Linked DNA regions of Oreochromis niloticus. The protein of the gene in region 1 interacts with the protein of each later gene in a pairwise test. Links are inferred from orthologs where the notes say so. Each region holds a gene or a part of one and is shown on either strand. Other genes may lie near its edges. The genes, in order: lhx9 and khk.

The links.
Region 2: the proteins of lhx9 (region 1) and khk interact in binary tests that used the Homo sapiens proteins (3 or more experiments, as listed by UniProt). The two-hybrid records come from large-scale screens. The link is inferred for Oreochromis niloticus from reciprocal best matches to the Homo sapiens genes LHX9 and KHK.

Annotation. Positions count from the first base shown.
Region 1 is NC_031981.2:1,419,198-1,427,522, reverse strand, and holds the start of lhx9 (LIM/homeobox protein Lhx9), read right to left. Parts: upstream 3,482-8,325; 5' UTR 3,345-3,481; intron 2,411-3,344; exon of another isoform or gene 1-2,410. UniProt on the Homo sapiens protein: Involved in gonadal development.
Region 2 is NC_031970.2:188,641-196,636, forward strand, and holds the start of khk (ketohexokinase), read right to left. Parts: upstream 3,269-7,996; 5' UTR 3,177-3,268; coding exon 3,082-3,176; intron 1,957-3,081; coding exon 1,840-1,956; intron 915-1,839; coding exon 780-914; intron 629-779; coding exon of another isoform or gene 494-628; intron 1-493. UniProt on the Homo sapiens protein: Catalyzes the phosphorylation of the ketose sugar fructose to fructose-1-phosphate.

The DNA.
Region 1 (8,325 bases):
CCCAGAGATTCAGATCACCTCCTCAGCAGAAGCAACGGGAAGAAAAAGGACAAAACGAAGAAACTACAGCATGAGTGGGGCAGGAGGAGCTCTCCTTCTTCCTGTGAATGTCTCTCCTCCAGGAAAAAAACCAAAAAAAAACCAAAAAACATATAGTCCAAATGATGCGACAGGCCGGTGTGGAAGTGGTGGTGGTGGAGTTTGAGGAGGGAGGAGGGGAGGGAGTGTGAACACTGGCCAAAATAATGACACAAAGTTTTTTTGTGTGTGTTGTTGTTGTTGTTTCTTTTTGGTGATCTCTCTCTCTCTCTCTCCCAGTTTCCCAGTCCGGGGTTCCTCGGTGCTTGGAGGTCAGGTTGGGACTGCCTGGATTTGAGAACCGTGTCCTATTTGTGAAGAGAGCAGAGCCGGCCCAGTCTGAATAATTTGGTAGGAGGAGTTCCTCTCTCTCTCCCTCTCTCCCTCCCTCCCTCTCCCCATCTCTCTCTCTCTCCCTGCATCGCCGTTGATTTCTATTCAGTAACAAAGAGCTGTCACTCTCCCCTCAAAAACTCCTGATTCTGGACCACTGCTTTATGGTATTGACATTTTCATTACGTTTGTTCTGCCATTTAAAGGCGAGACGACGGGAACGTAAGCTGCACAAACTCGGTGCAAATATATTTGATTTATTTATGAAATCATATGCATCCATGCAGGCGTCTGAGGCCCTCTGTGGTTTCACCGGGAGTCCTCACAAGTGGGAATAAACACGTGTCTCACGGGGTGTCGTTTAAAGACACTTTCTAATAAAACTTCATCATCAGACTGGAAGAGTTTTTGGGAAGTGTGAGCTGGACCGGACCGAGTGTTTGGTTTGGTCCCGAAAACACACACACAAACACGCGCGCGCGCGCGCGCGCGCAACAGTGTGTTTGTGTTTGTGGCATAAATGTTCTGTCTGGGGCGGGGCAGTGATCAGTGATAGGCTAGAGGGCGGGGACAGATTCAATTGAACATTTTTGAAACAATGTGATTTGTTTTTGGCCCAAATGAATGAGATTTGGTTAAAAACTGAATTAATTAAATAATAAAATGTATCCCAGGTAACAACAGCCTCCTTACTCAAATAACCCGAACAGACTCCAGCTCGTTGCACATGCTTACATGTATAGAAATCTCTCTCTCCCTCTTTTAAACGCTCTTTTGAAACAGTCATTATCCACTGTCAAGGATTCATTAACGCGGCCTTTCGTCTTTTCTCTGTCTGCTGAATTAGGCCAAAACCTTGTTTACCTGCTGGAGAGTTGATCTGACAGCAGCCGAGAACTGTGTAGTCTCCGCATTTCATTTGTTTGTGTTTTTCTCTTTCTTTCTGCTTTTCTTCTTACGGGCTTTATAAGAAGCAACGTGGAAGTAAAGGCGAGATGAGAGAGAGACCTCCAGTTGGTGGTCGCTACAGGGAAACCTCAACCAGCTATTGCATATTTTTAGAAATTCATGCTTTTTAAAATTCCATCCCTATCTCCAAAGATGGTCTGCTTTACGCAGGGCGCAGTGGGGGCTGCAATAACGATCTGTGTCAGTTTTAAAAGGGTGTGGAAAGCTTTGTTGCCCAAATAATAAAGGCAGGAAATAAAAGGCGTTCAGCTTCCAGTATGCAGTGCGGACTTGGTGACAACAAAACTATATATATTTTTTTTTTAATTAATCCGTTCATTAATTGGAGATTTGGGCCGCGTGACCTTCCAGTTGGATCCACGCCAGCGAGCTGTGGTCTTTGTAAGCTCGATGACGGCATTATTTTTCATAAACAACAGACAAACATCAGTCCCGTTAATAGATTTAGCAAAGCTCGGGGAGGTTTGCAGGTGTGGATGCTTCATCTCAAGACGTGTTACATTATCACGTGAACCTCCCACCACCCATCCACCTCACCGCACGCGCGCACACACACACGCGAGCACCAAACACGCAAGCGAAGTTGTGTTGGCTTTAATTGGAGGCCCCTTGATAGCAGCGCTATAAGACGAGGCTTGAACCCTCCTGGACGGGCTGGAAGTGCAGCTGTTGTCAGACCCATAACGCTCATTTGCGCTCTGCAGTGTCCCAGCACCAGCCGCAGAGCGGTGGGGGAAAAGGGGCACGCAAAAAGGACACGAGGATTTCATTTCACCTGGACAAAGACGCCCCGAGTGGAACGATAAGCTCAGCTCTGTGTGCGATTTTTAATCTTAACTGCAGTTTTCCTGCCATTCTGCGTCTTCTCTGCGAATTAGGCGCTGGCAATAGGGCGTGTTTCCAATATGAAGAAGTTTTTTAAAGAAAATATTATAATTATTATTATTTGTTTTTTTATGAAAGCGTTAATGTCGATAAATAACGCTGTCGTGGCCCGTTGCCTCCAGCAGTGACATTTAATATGACTGAAGAGCGCTTACCAATGTGTCAGTGAACACCAAGGGGATGGGGGGGGGGGGGAATCTTTGGAGCTGCTGTTTGTTTTATTTTGTTTTTTTCTGTATTTAAAACATATTCATGAAGCTTTTTATTTGTCTGATTGTCTTTTTATTTCACTTCGGATTTTAGCCAAACTATATATATATGTATATATGTATATATTTTTTTACAAAACGAAAAAAATGTCACTTTTATTTTGAAATATCTTTTTAAAAAATCTATTACACCTTCAGTATTTTTAAAGTGTCTCTAAAAAAACCTGTAGGAAATAAAACTGGGTGATTTTGTGTGTCAGCTTTAGTCAGTGTGGGTGATTTATCCAAGTTAAAGATTAATTTATTATTATTATTATTTAAGGAACTGAATTTATTTTAAGGCTTTGGAAAAACAATAAAGCACAAAAATCCACAGTGTCAGCATTTCTGTTTGACATGGCGAGAGTCGGCTCAGTGGGCCACTGACGTTTGTCAAATACATAATGAAAATTAAAATAATAATAATACTAATATCACAATCACGCACACAGCGACATTTTGCCTGTATTTTCATAAAACCCATACATTTGTGTTTCGCACGATTTTACTGGCGTGCGAACTCCAATCTATTATTTATGCGCATAATCGAGACTGATTTAGGCAAACAGAAAAATAATAATAAGAAAAAAATATATAAGTTTTTTAAAATCACACACCGATCGAGTGCGTTTGTAGTCCAAGTCTGCGCTTTTATCCCAGACAAAATCACCCATGTCACTGTCTTTATCACGCATCAGATCTGTCGCGCATTGCTTCACACGCTCCACGCTTCTCCTTTCGTTTCCCCCCAAAGCCCTCTCTGTGTTACTAGTATTATTATTATTATTAGCGTTGCCCTCAAGAATAAATAGCTATGGAAAAAAGTCTTACCTGCGGCTGTGCAGTGTGTGAGTGAGATCCCTGTGCAGCGTGCAGACTGAGCCGCTCCGGACTGTGCGCAGTGTGCAGAGGAGACAGAGGAGAGGCTGCCGGTAGATGGGGGGCTGTTCCTCGTTTCTGAGCTTACAGTTCTAGTTCGGGCGTCAATTAAAACACAAGACATTTAAATATTCCTCTCTCGTAGGCAGACGGCCCTCAACACACCGCAGCACACAGAAAACGGGGAGCCATGAGCCAATGGCCTACTCAGCATGTAGGTTATAATCTGTGATGTGCTTCTGAATTAAAGTGGTGAAGTCGGTGGTCGCCAAATGAAAAAAAACACACAACAACTATCACTGTATAAAATAAAATGTAGGGACTTTTCAGCAATTAAATATGTATTTGTCCTTTAAACACTCCAACTTAGCCTGTGCTGTAAATGAATCCAGCTCCTGCTTGGTTATTATTATTATTCGTTTTACGCACCAAATATGAATAAACCAGCGTTTGGCAACCAGAAATGAAAGCTGGCACATCTGGGTCTAAACAGTTATAATCCCAAAATGCATCATGGCTTCTTTACCTTTTATTTTTAAAAATATATACACACACCGATCGTATTATAGGAGACTGAAGTGAGCTGAGCACGGTTACAGTCTCACTGGCTGGAGAGGTTTGTGTGAATAAATAATTAGGGTGTAAAGTCAAACTGGATCAATCAAATCTGACAAAGATAGGGAGCGCAGCAACACACGCCTGGAGGGGAAAAAATGTTTTGGTATTGAATAACCAAATACCAAATCGAAGCCATTTTCAAAATAAAAGTGCTCATTAATTGACGAATTGTGCGCATTTTAATCATGTGGGTACTGAACCAAAACCGCGGAGGGCTGCCTATTAGAAAGGTCGCAGTTTTCTTGTTTCCCCCTCTCTGATTTCCTTGCTTTCATATTTGCGTGACGACAAACGAATAATAAAAATGTGCGACCTCAGGAGGGTTTAGACCCATTAATACAAGACGACACGTGACTCCTACCACACTTTTTAGTCTAATTTTATTGATGCATTTCATTAAAAACACAAATAAGACAAAAAAAAAAAAAGCATATCAAGATAAGCCCATTCTGTGGTTCATATTTGCATGCTATAAAGTGTGGCACACTGCACGCCCGGATCCTTTTCTGAGGAACTGAGCTGACAAACTTCATAAAAATTCAAAGCAATAATAAGTCTGTTCAGCCAGGAAGCAGACTTACACACTTGCCTTGTGTGGCCTTGTGTTGCAACATCTAATAAAAAAAAGAAACGCTGATGAAAAATTCACTAATAATTAATAATGTCAAGATTTTAGTAAATATTAATAGTGTTTATGTTTTGAGGATGGTTTGGTTGTGTCTCTCTCTTAATGAGACCGTATTTTCTCAATTTAAGAGGTAAATACAAGGAGCGTGAGGTTTCTCTTCCCCCACTCACGTCCTTATATTCTCCACCTGAAATGCAAACTGACAATCGTCCATTAAATGGTAACACCGGTAAGAGAATGCAAAACCGTTTAAAGAGCACTTAGCTCCTCCTGAAGTGCACGTTCATCTTTAACACGAGAAAGGGAGGTCATCCAGAAAAACAAGAGGATAACCCAAACCTGCTCGTGCTCCCCACGGAGCGCCGAGGCACGGGTGGACTCGTTTCAATTGACTACGAGTGAATAGAATATTGTGTGAACGAGCACTGGGGCTGGAGCAAAGGGTGACAATTAATTACACCTCTGTACCGCTTGCATAAATGATCACGTGCCACACTGCTAACAGTCATTTTGCTTTGCTCCTTCAGCCTGGGTTGACATCACAGTGTATCTCATCAATAATGCAACAACACTGAGATCTATTTCACAGCGTACCACAACACGGAACGCACACACAGCGTGCTAGGAGCACGATACCCAGACAGGCGCTGCAGCGCGCTTGGTTAAATCGGCGAAACGGCGGCTACAGCGCCAAGCAGGTCGCCTGGCTGTCCCCCGCCCACCCCCGCACCTCCCCGAGTGCCTGGCTCCTCTCTGCTGTAGGGCATGGTGGTTAGATTACCACACATCCAAAGTTCATCTGGAGTTATCATTTCTGGGTCACCTCAAGTGACACTCAGTCTCACAGAGGGAGCTCTCAGTCACTCCCAAAGCATGGCCAGAAAAGGAGCGTAGGAGAGGTGGTGGAGGCGAGGAGGCGAGGAGTAGGAGAGAAGCAAGGAAGAGGAGGAGGCGGTGGGAAGGCTCTCCCAGGATCCAGTGAGGTGCAGGGAACCACAGGCTAAACACTGACAGAATGAAGGAAAGGGGTGGGAAGGGAAGGGAGAGGGTGAGGCAGAGGAGGAGGAACAGAGGGAGGAGTGAAGCACTGTACAGCTGTATCCCAGTCACATGAGCCTGGGTGGGTGGGTGGGTGGGTGGATGGTGAGACATCCTGGAAATATTTACAAACACACAGTGGACGTGACTTTCTAATTATTGAAGCAGAGGCGATATCAGAAATGCACAAAACGGGGGAAACGCCCCCCCCCCCCCCGGCGGCGTCTCGTAAAGAAGCAAAATGATAAACGGCGATTTTAAGAAAATAACGACGTGCAGGATAATACGAGAATCTCCACGTCTCCTCCTGCTGGTCATTTCTCCCCCGCCTCTCCTGCTTCTACCACTTTCCCTTTTCTCTCTTCCAAGCAACGCTCCCCCCTCCCTCCCTCTCGCCCTCCACCCCTCCTTCGATCTCCTCCCTGCTCTGCTCTGCTGGAGCTCAAATCACAACCCCGGTCCCTGGCAGATGGAGGATAGGAAAGAGAAGCTCTTAACTAGCCAGCCTGAGCCGCTGCTCTCTGCACACCAACTGCTGCCTGCCTCCCCTCCCTGCCTCCAGAACAGCTACCACTACATGCACCCCCCCACCCCCAGCACCTCTGGGGACACGGTATCCTTCTGGGGAATGGTGCGTGTATTAGTCCGTATCTGGACACACTAGAAAGGACATGGAAACATAATAGATGGATGTTATTTATCACTACATAACCTTATGGGGCAGAGCAGCGTTTGCGAGGAGAGGGTTAGTAAATATCGTTTTGCTGTCAAACAAGCGCCGTCTTTCTACTTCAGTGAGCGAGGACAGAGAGTCAGAAGACGGCGTAATGTGAAGCGAGCTGGAGGTTAGACGGCGTGACAGATAAAGAAAGCGGCGACACGTCGGGTCCAAAGCGCAGACGAGAAATCATGAACGACTGCGGCGATGCAAAACCAGGAGGGAAATAAACAGGCCAAAGTGCTCCGTGGGCGCTTAAGTGCCTTTGACTGCCCCCGACTCTCCTTTTATCTGGGCTCATCTGGCGACCACGGCTTGGCCTGGCATGAGCCTGACCACCAGTTGCGGTCTGAGGGAGAAACTGCTCCTCTGTGCTATTTGCAGCCCTGTCTGTCCAAAGGAATCTGGTGCGCTGACTGTCACTCAGTGGCCATGTGTGTTTTTTATCACTAATTCTACCACAGGGATGTGGTTGTCCATATGACCACTGTGGAGGCTGCTGCCCTGAGGCGAGCTGACATTGTCTGTGTAGAACGACCAGACGTTGATGTAGGGGCTGCTCAAATGCTGCTTAACACACACACACACACACACACACACACACACATGCACGCAGGCAGGCAGGCAGGCATACTGAGCGGTGCCTGGCCAATTGCTGAGACTGATGTTCCTTTCAGCCATCATATGGCTGACACTTAAGTTTTTTTCCCCGCCAACCTTGTGTCAGTTCCTGGCTGGTCTGGCCAGCAGTGATGGAGACGCTGTAACCGACTGTGGTCGGGGCCGCTGGCGGCGGGGCTGCTGTGCCCGTTTGAGATGGGGTGCGATGGGGGTGGGGGGCTGCTGCTTGGCCTGTCAACTGGTTGTGACTGGAGCATGTCTGGTCACAGATCCAAACTGGACAGCTCGCTCTTTCTCTGCAGCTAGTGCCATCATCCTGCAGAAAGGCACACGGCGTATAGCTGCCACTCTGCTCCAGTACAGCATATGCTCCAGCTGAGGGTCAGACATGTTCAGTCCAAAACGCCTGAAAGAGACGCCTCACGTGTCTAACTGGCTGCTGGGAGCACATGTGCACTGTGGGTAAAAGAGAAAATGATCGTGGTGCTGCATAACCCAGCTCCAACCCAAATAAAAGGCGGGACTTTCATCAACTTTAGATAAATTAATTCGGTTCAATGATTAAAACACAGAAACTAGTTGAATGCTCTCTCTCACTGTGCAAGTGCACTGCACAGGCTACTCAATCAATCTGCTGATGAATTAAGGATGGATTAGTAAACGGAGTGCAGAGGTGTGCTGTGCTGTTTGTGTCTCAGTCACCAACTGCTAGGCTGGAAGATGATGGAGGGGAAAAAAATTCAAACTGTGCCATCACTGGATCGGGAAGACGTGGAGGGATGAGGCAGACATGAAAGTTGGCCTATTTCATGGTCAGGCTGCGGGACCGCCGAGGCCCTGAATGGCAATGCATCTACTTTAATGTGACAGACGAGTCCCTAGGCAAAACCGGCGGAGCCGCGGCAGGCAAGCGGGCCCAGGTACTTGATGAGTGTGACACCTTCGCCGTCCCGCTGTAGAAATGTTGCTGCCGCACGCTCCGCTGCCTCGGTTTAGAATAACACCAAATAAATTCGCCTCTCATCCCGCCTGACGACGCGTCCCCAGAACCTGTCCTCCCCAGCACTGTCGGGATCACCGATCTCCTTGTAGCCGCTCACAGGGCTTTGCTTCGATCGCTAAGCACTTGCCTTTGGGACCCACCTGCCGAGAAAAGACACATCCTCTCATGGCGACGCCGTTTGCCCAATCGGGCGGAGAAGGACGAGTGTGTGCGTCGGGTTTGCGGCGAGCGCCCGGAGGCGTCATGCCGCCTACCCACACGCACTCTCAAATCAAGCACCGCATCTTTCCTCGGCATAGGTAGTTCT
Region 2 (7,996 bases), on another chromosome or scaffold:
AGTCATCTGATATTCACCTCATCTGATTGGTGGAGCCATTGCTCTGCAGTGGCTCATGTGCCCAGTTGTCATTAGACCAGATTTAGGCTGACATTTAGGTTTTCATGCTTCCTGATGGCAGACTCACTAAACTCATCAGTGTATTTGTTTCATCCACCTCCAGCGGCCAATGGGTGGAGCTTAGAGTCTGAGAGGGCATGGTGCAATCCAATCAGTAAAGCCTCACCTGAACCACTGATGGGTTTGTTCAGGTGATCAGAAAGAGAATCAAAAGAAACAGGAAAGATTCTGCAGAATTTCATTTAAAAATATATTTTTGACAAAGGGAAGATTGATTATTTCACTGCGGTGCTGATTAGCCAGGCATGATGTGAGAAATAACACATTGATCAAACAGGCTGGAAGAAAACCTCGATCATTGTAATAATCATTATTAATTAATATCTAACGTGAGCTGTGAAAATCGCAGCTCTTCGACGGCCTTACGCCTTACGTATCGGAGAGAACGACGGTTCGAGTTCCAGTGGATGGACAAACCACACAACAAGCACATGGAGTTTGACCTTCGACCTGCAAAACCACCGCTGACACGTCGATGGCCCGCTGCGAGAAGTCAGCCATGATGAAACTGACAGAAAGACAGACAGGAAGGATCATGTCCCCTCTAAAATAAAACTCTGACAGAAACCCGAACTCTGACTGGCAGAACGGGAGGGGCGGAGCTCCTCTACGATGACACTGAAACAGATGCCGTTAGTGACACAGACACACAAACACACCTGTTCATGTGCAGGATGGTGCGACTTCCTGTGCTTATGTTGCTGATGACCATGGAGGCTGGAAGGAAGCACTGAGGGTGCTCAGACAGCAGAGATACATCGATGCAGTACTTCTGAAAATCTTCCAAAATAAAACTACAGACAGGTAACTGTTTACACTGACTTGGCTTCCTGAAACACAGATCCTCCACATGGCAGACAGAATAATTAAAGTCAGAGGTGGTAACAAGTATGTTAGTAATGCACTTTCTGAGGGGATGCTAAATAAAGACGATAAATCTCCTGTTTTTAGTGCTCAGGTGAAACTGATGGTGAACAAAGAGCTGGCTTTTTTTTTTTTACCCTTTGAAGAATGCTTTGTAAATGTGAGCACCAGAGGAGTTTCCCCCTTTGTGCTTCACCACAGCTTCAAACATCAAGAACTATCTCCACACCTTTAACCTGCTTCATTTACTTTATTGTAGGATTTTAAAATTCATATCTCGCATGCATTTGCTAAAATTCTGTAACAAGTTTGAATCTCAGGTTAAGGTAAGAGGTCAAGTTTCCCCATGAATGTAATAAGAAGGGAAGTCACTTTCAAACTGATGCCACTGGTGCAGTTATTAAACATCGTGAACGCTTTCCAGTCTCACCGACTTGATATGGAGGTTAAAGTATGAGGTGAAGTTTAAAAAATTCAAAGTTGATTCCTTCTTATTGCATTGACAAAATTCATTAAATGTCATCATACAAACACCTAATTAAAGACTGGTGGCTGCCAGTATCCTTTTTATTTATACTGCTCAAAAATTAAAGAAATACTTTTTAATCAGAATATAGTCAGTTAAACATCTGGGATATTTATCTGCTCAGTTAAGTAGCAGAAAGTCTTTTATTTCAGTAGGTTGATAATGTTCATTTGTGTGTGTGTGTGTGTGTAGAATCTCCAAAATACCACAGTTTCAGTAAAAAACTGTGGTATTAACATTCTGGATTCTGCCCTCAAACATTGATTACTGTGTATTTCTTGGATTTCTGAACAAATGGATTTATTGATGAGCATTTGAAAAGGACTCACTTGGCCACAGGACCAGCTGACAGGGAGCCCATGAAGGCGCAGGGCGCTCCGAGCAGCGACAACACTGTGCATGAGTTTGAAGCATTTCCTCCCCGCTGCCAACGCTGCGACAGACATCTGCAGGTACAAAGTGATGACATCATCCATCAGAGGGGCAATCATTAATTTTCAATACTGATGGCAGGAGTGATGAAAGGCTTCATGGAGTCAAACATTACACACAGAAACAAAAAGAAGCTGCTAACGTTAAAGTCAAATGAGTGTGTTTCCCATCCCCAATGAGAAACAAGCACCAGTGCATCACGGACAAAGTCATTGTGGCGGAGCAGTGGGTTCAGTGTCAGGGGAGCCTCATGCACACAGCTGTTCCCCATAGCCTAATCATGTCACCCCTATGAGTAGGATCTCAGAGAAGTGAGGTGTGTGCTATACAGGAGAAGTGAGGAGCACTGAGCTGGAGAGAGTGGGGCTGAAAAGCCTGCCACTCAGTATTCTGTATGCTGTTTTACACATATAAAAACATTCATGTGCTGGAGAAACTGTCAGCCTGGGATCCTTGCTACAGTTATCGACCACACTTAAAAGCACAGGGTTGGGGGACAGTCGGGTCGTAGTCAGGTTAGTGCCAGGGCCTAGGCCAGGAAAACTTAGATTATAGAAGATCAATCAGCTTGGCCTCGTTCACACGAGTGAAGAGAGCAGGAGAACCAGTGATGCTAATGTCACCATGTTAGGAGAGAGGCAAAAGATGAATTCTCTTCTTCAGATTAGTGACACCTCCTGTTTGTGGGGTTAGGGCTTGTTGCAGCACCAAAGAGATACATTAATATAATTTACATCATGTTCTGGATTTTTCATTTTTAAAATAAAAAACTAAACGGAGTATCAAAAGTCGATAGTGTTACACTGAAATCTGTTACGTAATGAAAGCGTGACCTTTGCCCACACATTGACCTAAAAAAACTGCCAACCCTGACCCCTAAACATCACCAAAAACCCTTACCCGTAAACCCCTAATTCTGACTGTATACAATGTCACAGTCAATCACTTTTTAGAGATCCACTTCTCTAAACAGCTCGTTCAACATAAGCTGTACCAGCCTGGAGAGTTAGCCTGCATATTAACCTGCTCTCAGCTTTAGCCTGCAGGCTAACATGCTGTCAGAACTAGCCTGGATGCTAACCTGCTGTCAGCTTTAGCCTGCAGGCTGACCTGCTGTCACAGTTAGCCTGGATGCTAACCTGCTGTCAGTATCTTCTTCAGGGTATTTGTTCACCACGTTGATGATGTCGAGACACACCAGCCCCACGCACAGAATCTTCTTCTGCTGTTCCATGCTGGTCCACACAAACTCTCTGTGATCCGAGGGTGTTAGAAAGGCACACTTAGGTGGACTTTGAAACACTTCCTCCCATGATTCCCTCAGAGTGAAGTAGTGATGCGCGAATCATGAACGAATCGTTCAATACTCGAGAATCACTTTACTGACTCGTGAATCATGATTCACAAGCGCAACTGACTCACTGACTCATCCCTGTTGCTGTTAGCAAACTAATTTCACTAGTAGAAATATATCTAGCTTATAATTCAAATTGTGAAGAAAAACACAACATCCAGTATCTTAACAAAAACATTTCTGCTCTGAACTGGAAGAAAAAACCCTGAGTAGAAGCTCACATCAAGACAATAGCTCCTCGGTTTACAGTAGCAACGCTCTGCTAACATGCTAACAGCACATTTGAGCTACTCACCCCCGCCATTCCTGCGCTGAATCATAGTGTAAGCAAATCACTCAGGACTCACTAACCCCCTCCCTCCTGTGCTGAATCATAGAGCGCGCGAATCACTCATGACTCGCTCACCCCCTCCCTCCTGTGCTGAATCATAGAGCGAGCGAATCACTCATGACTCGCTAACCCCCTCCCTCCTGTGCTGAATCATAGAGCGAACGAATCACTCACTCACTCACTCACCCCCTCCCTCCTGGCTCGCAGCTACTTCTTCTTCTTCTTCGTTGGCAACCAATGTTAAGGCGCACTACCGCCCCCTGGCTCACAGCTCAGTGGACATTTAGATGAGAAAATATATATTTGACACATGTAAGGAAAATACTAATAAAATAAAAATAAACAAAAGAAATGTTCCCTTTAGAAATTCTTTTGCTCTTTTTTGCTATATAAAATAGGGCAGCACGGTGGCACGGTGGTTAGCACTGTTGCCGCACAGCAAGAAGGTCCTGAGTTCAATTCCAACATCAGGCCGGGGTCTTTCTGTGTGGAGTTTGCATGTTCTCCCCATGTTTGCGTGGGTTCTCTCTGGGTACTCCGGCTTCCTCCCACCGTCCAAAGACATGCAACTTGTGGGGATAGGTTAATTGGATAAACCAAATTGCCACTAGGTGTGAATGTGCGAGCGAATGTGAGTGTGAATGGTTGTCTGTCCTTGTGTGTTGGCCCTGCGACAGACTGGCGACCTGTCCAGGGTGTACCCCGCCTCTCGCCCCATGACAGCTGGGATAGGCTCCAGCGCCCCCCGTGACCCTGAAAAGGAGAAGCGGAAGCGAATGGATGGATGGAAAATAGTTGTTTTCTTTAAGAATCACTCATCTTAGCAGTAGGATTTACATTAAAAGAGAAACAAATTAAGTTTGAGTGAAAATGTACATTTTTTGCACTCTCTGGTCAACTGACTCAGTGACTCAAATGACTCAAAAAACCCGATTCACTTTGGTGAGTGACTCATTAAAACTCGATTCAGTAAAAAGAATCAAATTTACCATCACTAGAGTGAAGTCACAGCAACAAACTGCATCACTTCTTCTTTATATTGTTTATTGGTGGTTGGCAAACAGCACTACCGCCACCAACTGGTGTGGAGTGTGGACCGAATTTAAAAGCACTTAATGGAATGAATTCAGTCATTTTCCATTCGTTCTGCAGTTTGTTCCAAGCCGAGGGTGCTAAATGAACAAAAGGTCTTTTACCAAATTCAGTTCGGGCAAATGGAACAGAAAGCAACAAGTAACCATGTGGACGAAGAGAATACTGACCAGCATGTTTCATTGCAAGCAGGGAACATATATAAGAAGGTAGCAACCCAAGTATTGCCTTATATATAAAACTGTATAGATGAGAGTTCCTCCGACTTTCCAAAGCAGGCCATCCTACCTGAGAGTATAACTCACAGTGATGAGTCTGAGATTTACGGTTAGTGATGAACCTCATTCGTATCCAGTGTGAGGTTGAAAAGTGTTGTGAGAGGCTCTGCCACAAAATCAGCTGACAGTGTCAAGAAGAAATGATCTACTAAGTCGGGTCCTGATGATTTTCTATGATCTAACACTTTACAGACTTCATGCACAGAGAAAGGAACAATGTGTTAATAGACCTCTCTCCATTGAATCATACCTGTTATTAATCTCTGTCTCTCTTCCACAGCATGTCTTTATCCTGTTTTCCTTCTCTCACTCCAACCAATCACAGCAGATGGCCCCGCCCCTCCCTGAGCTTGGTTCTGCCAGAGGTTTCTTCCTGTTAAAAGGGAGATTTTCCTTCCCACTGTCGCCAAAGTGCTTGCTCATAGGGGGTCATATGATTGTTGGGTTTTTCTCTGTATGTATTATTGTAGGGTCTACTGTCCAATATAATCCAGTGTATGAATGTGTGTGTGAATGGGTGGATGACTGAACGTGTAAAGCGGGGTCCTTAGGGACTAAGTAAAGCGCTATACAAATACAGGCCATTTACTATTTGCCTTGAGACGACTGTTCTTGTGATTTGGCGCTATATAAATAAAATTGAATTCAATTGAATTAAAAAAGGCAGTTCATGCTCAAAAACCCTCCAATGTGACTGAATTACAACAATTCTGCAAAGATGAGTGGGCCAAAATTCCTCCACAGCTGTAAAGACTGTTAATACAAATGCTTGATTGCAGTTGTTGCTGCTAAGGGTGGTCCAACCAGTTATTAGGTTCAGGGGGCAATCAATTTATTACACAAGGCCATGAGGGTTTGGAATTGTCACCCCCCCCCCCCTGTTCCTGTAGAAATTAGTCATACTTTTTTTTGTTTCTATTGTTTTTTTCATTGCTGAGGTGGTGTGGCTGGATGTTTGTCAGAATGCAGCTATTAATGGGGTATACTATGTTAACAGTAATGTCTGAATGTCAAACCCAGAGTGATTTATGACTTTTACCAACATGGTGCAGTAACAGTCTCCATGAACTCAGTGAAAGCTGACAGTAAATTATGTTCATGGTACTTTGGCTATAAATTAGGTAGTACAGGTAGTACACAGAAAGTGTGCTTCGGATGAAGCACATGAAGATTATGCTATGAAAAAGGAATGTATCTAAAACGTTTTAATTAAATTGCTAAGCAGATAAGCTACTCAAAAACTCCACTGTGTTTGAGCAGGAACAGGAAGTTCAGGGAACAGTCTGTCTATTCTCTCCATCTGTCAGCTGCTGCTGGCTCTTCCTCCCCCTCTTCCTCACACACTCCTGAGTTTGTCCTGGTGGATCATCAGGGGTGCAAAGCCTCACAGATGATGTGCAGCAGTGGGTCCCTCAGTCTGTCCTCACTCTGGACACTTGCAGTTGTCACACATGGAAATCAAATGTGTGATAAGTTGCAGGATTCAAACACAAGTGTAACTTATAAATACATGTTCATACTTTTATTCTGCAATCAGAGAGAAAGAAACAGAGAGAGAGTGCAGGACAGACAGACAGGTGACAGTCTCAGGTGTATACACTGCTACAAAACAGCACAAGAGAAGGAGGATTTAGTGTTTGTGTTATTACGAGTGCTAAACAAGAAGAGTTCCAGATGGTCCAGTGGACACATGTGTGACTCCTGTGATTAAAGCATCTTTCTTTCAGCTTAACGAGTGAACCGTCAGCTCGTTCAAACACACGTTAAAGTCCGTTTGGCTCAACACCACCGAACAGAGGCAGCAATATAACATAGCTAACATTAACAGTGCAGTGAATCCTGCTTGTGCCGTCATATTCAGGACTGCAAACCGAGCAGCATCACTGACTTTCAGCTTGTTGTGTTTGTGGATATATGACTGACTTTAATTATCCATAAAATCATCACATTCTCTGTAAGATTAAGGTTGACTATTGAACGGCTTTAAAACCAAGTAAACGCTGAAAGTACAAACATCGCTAATGTCACATAACTTTGCCGACATGTGGCCAACAGTAATGTTTTAATGTTCTCCGTTATTCAACATTTTCACATAAATAAGTGACATATTATTCAGTACTTACTTTTAACAGTTTACTCTTCGGCCGCTCCACTTCTGCCGTCTGCGGAAAAATTATCCACACCGACTGCTGCGCTATGAATTGTGGGATATGTTGGGCCATGAAGTCTACACCACCACGTCCTTAAAATTCAGGGACATGAAGGATGCATTTGAGGGCCGCATTTCGAGCAGCCTTTGAATTGGGACAGCCTTCGGCGCGTCGCTGTGACGTAATCGGCCTTAAAATGCGGCCTTTAAGGCTGCAGACCCTGAATTGGGATACAGCCTGTGAGAATAGTTTGCAGCCTGGTCTTACTAGTCATTTCTGCACAGACGCCACAAAATGCACAGATGCGTGCACGCACAAAACGAAGCGCACGGCCAATTTAGGGGAGCTTGGAAGCAGTGCTCATCGTGCAAACAGCGCATTATTATTGTAACTGGTGCAAAAGGTAGGATATGTCCTGTCTGCAAAATCCATCCATCTAGAGGTTCGTGCTATAAAATGTAAATTACATCTTTGTTCAGTTTGTTGTTGAGTTTGTTCAGGTCAGTTCAGTTTCCCAGTGGCACAGGAACAGAACAGGAGGGAGAGACAGAAAAAGATCATCGTCTGTACAGTAAGATAGAGGATGATCTTTTTTTAAATTTAGGTGCATCTTTGAAGTCTGTGAGAATAGTTTGCAGCCTTGTCTTACTAGTCATTTCTGCACAAACGCCATGAAATGCACAGACGCACGCACGCACAACACGAAGCGCACGGTCAATTTAGGGGAGGCTTTTGCTGAGAAAGAGCAGCGTTCCAAAAAGCGGAAGCAGTGCTTATCGTGCAAACAACACATTATTATCGTAACTGCTGCAAATTTTAGATATATATAAGATATGTCCTGTCTGCAAA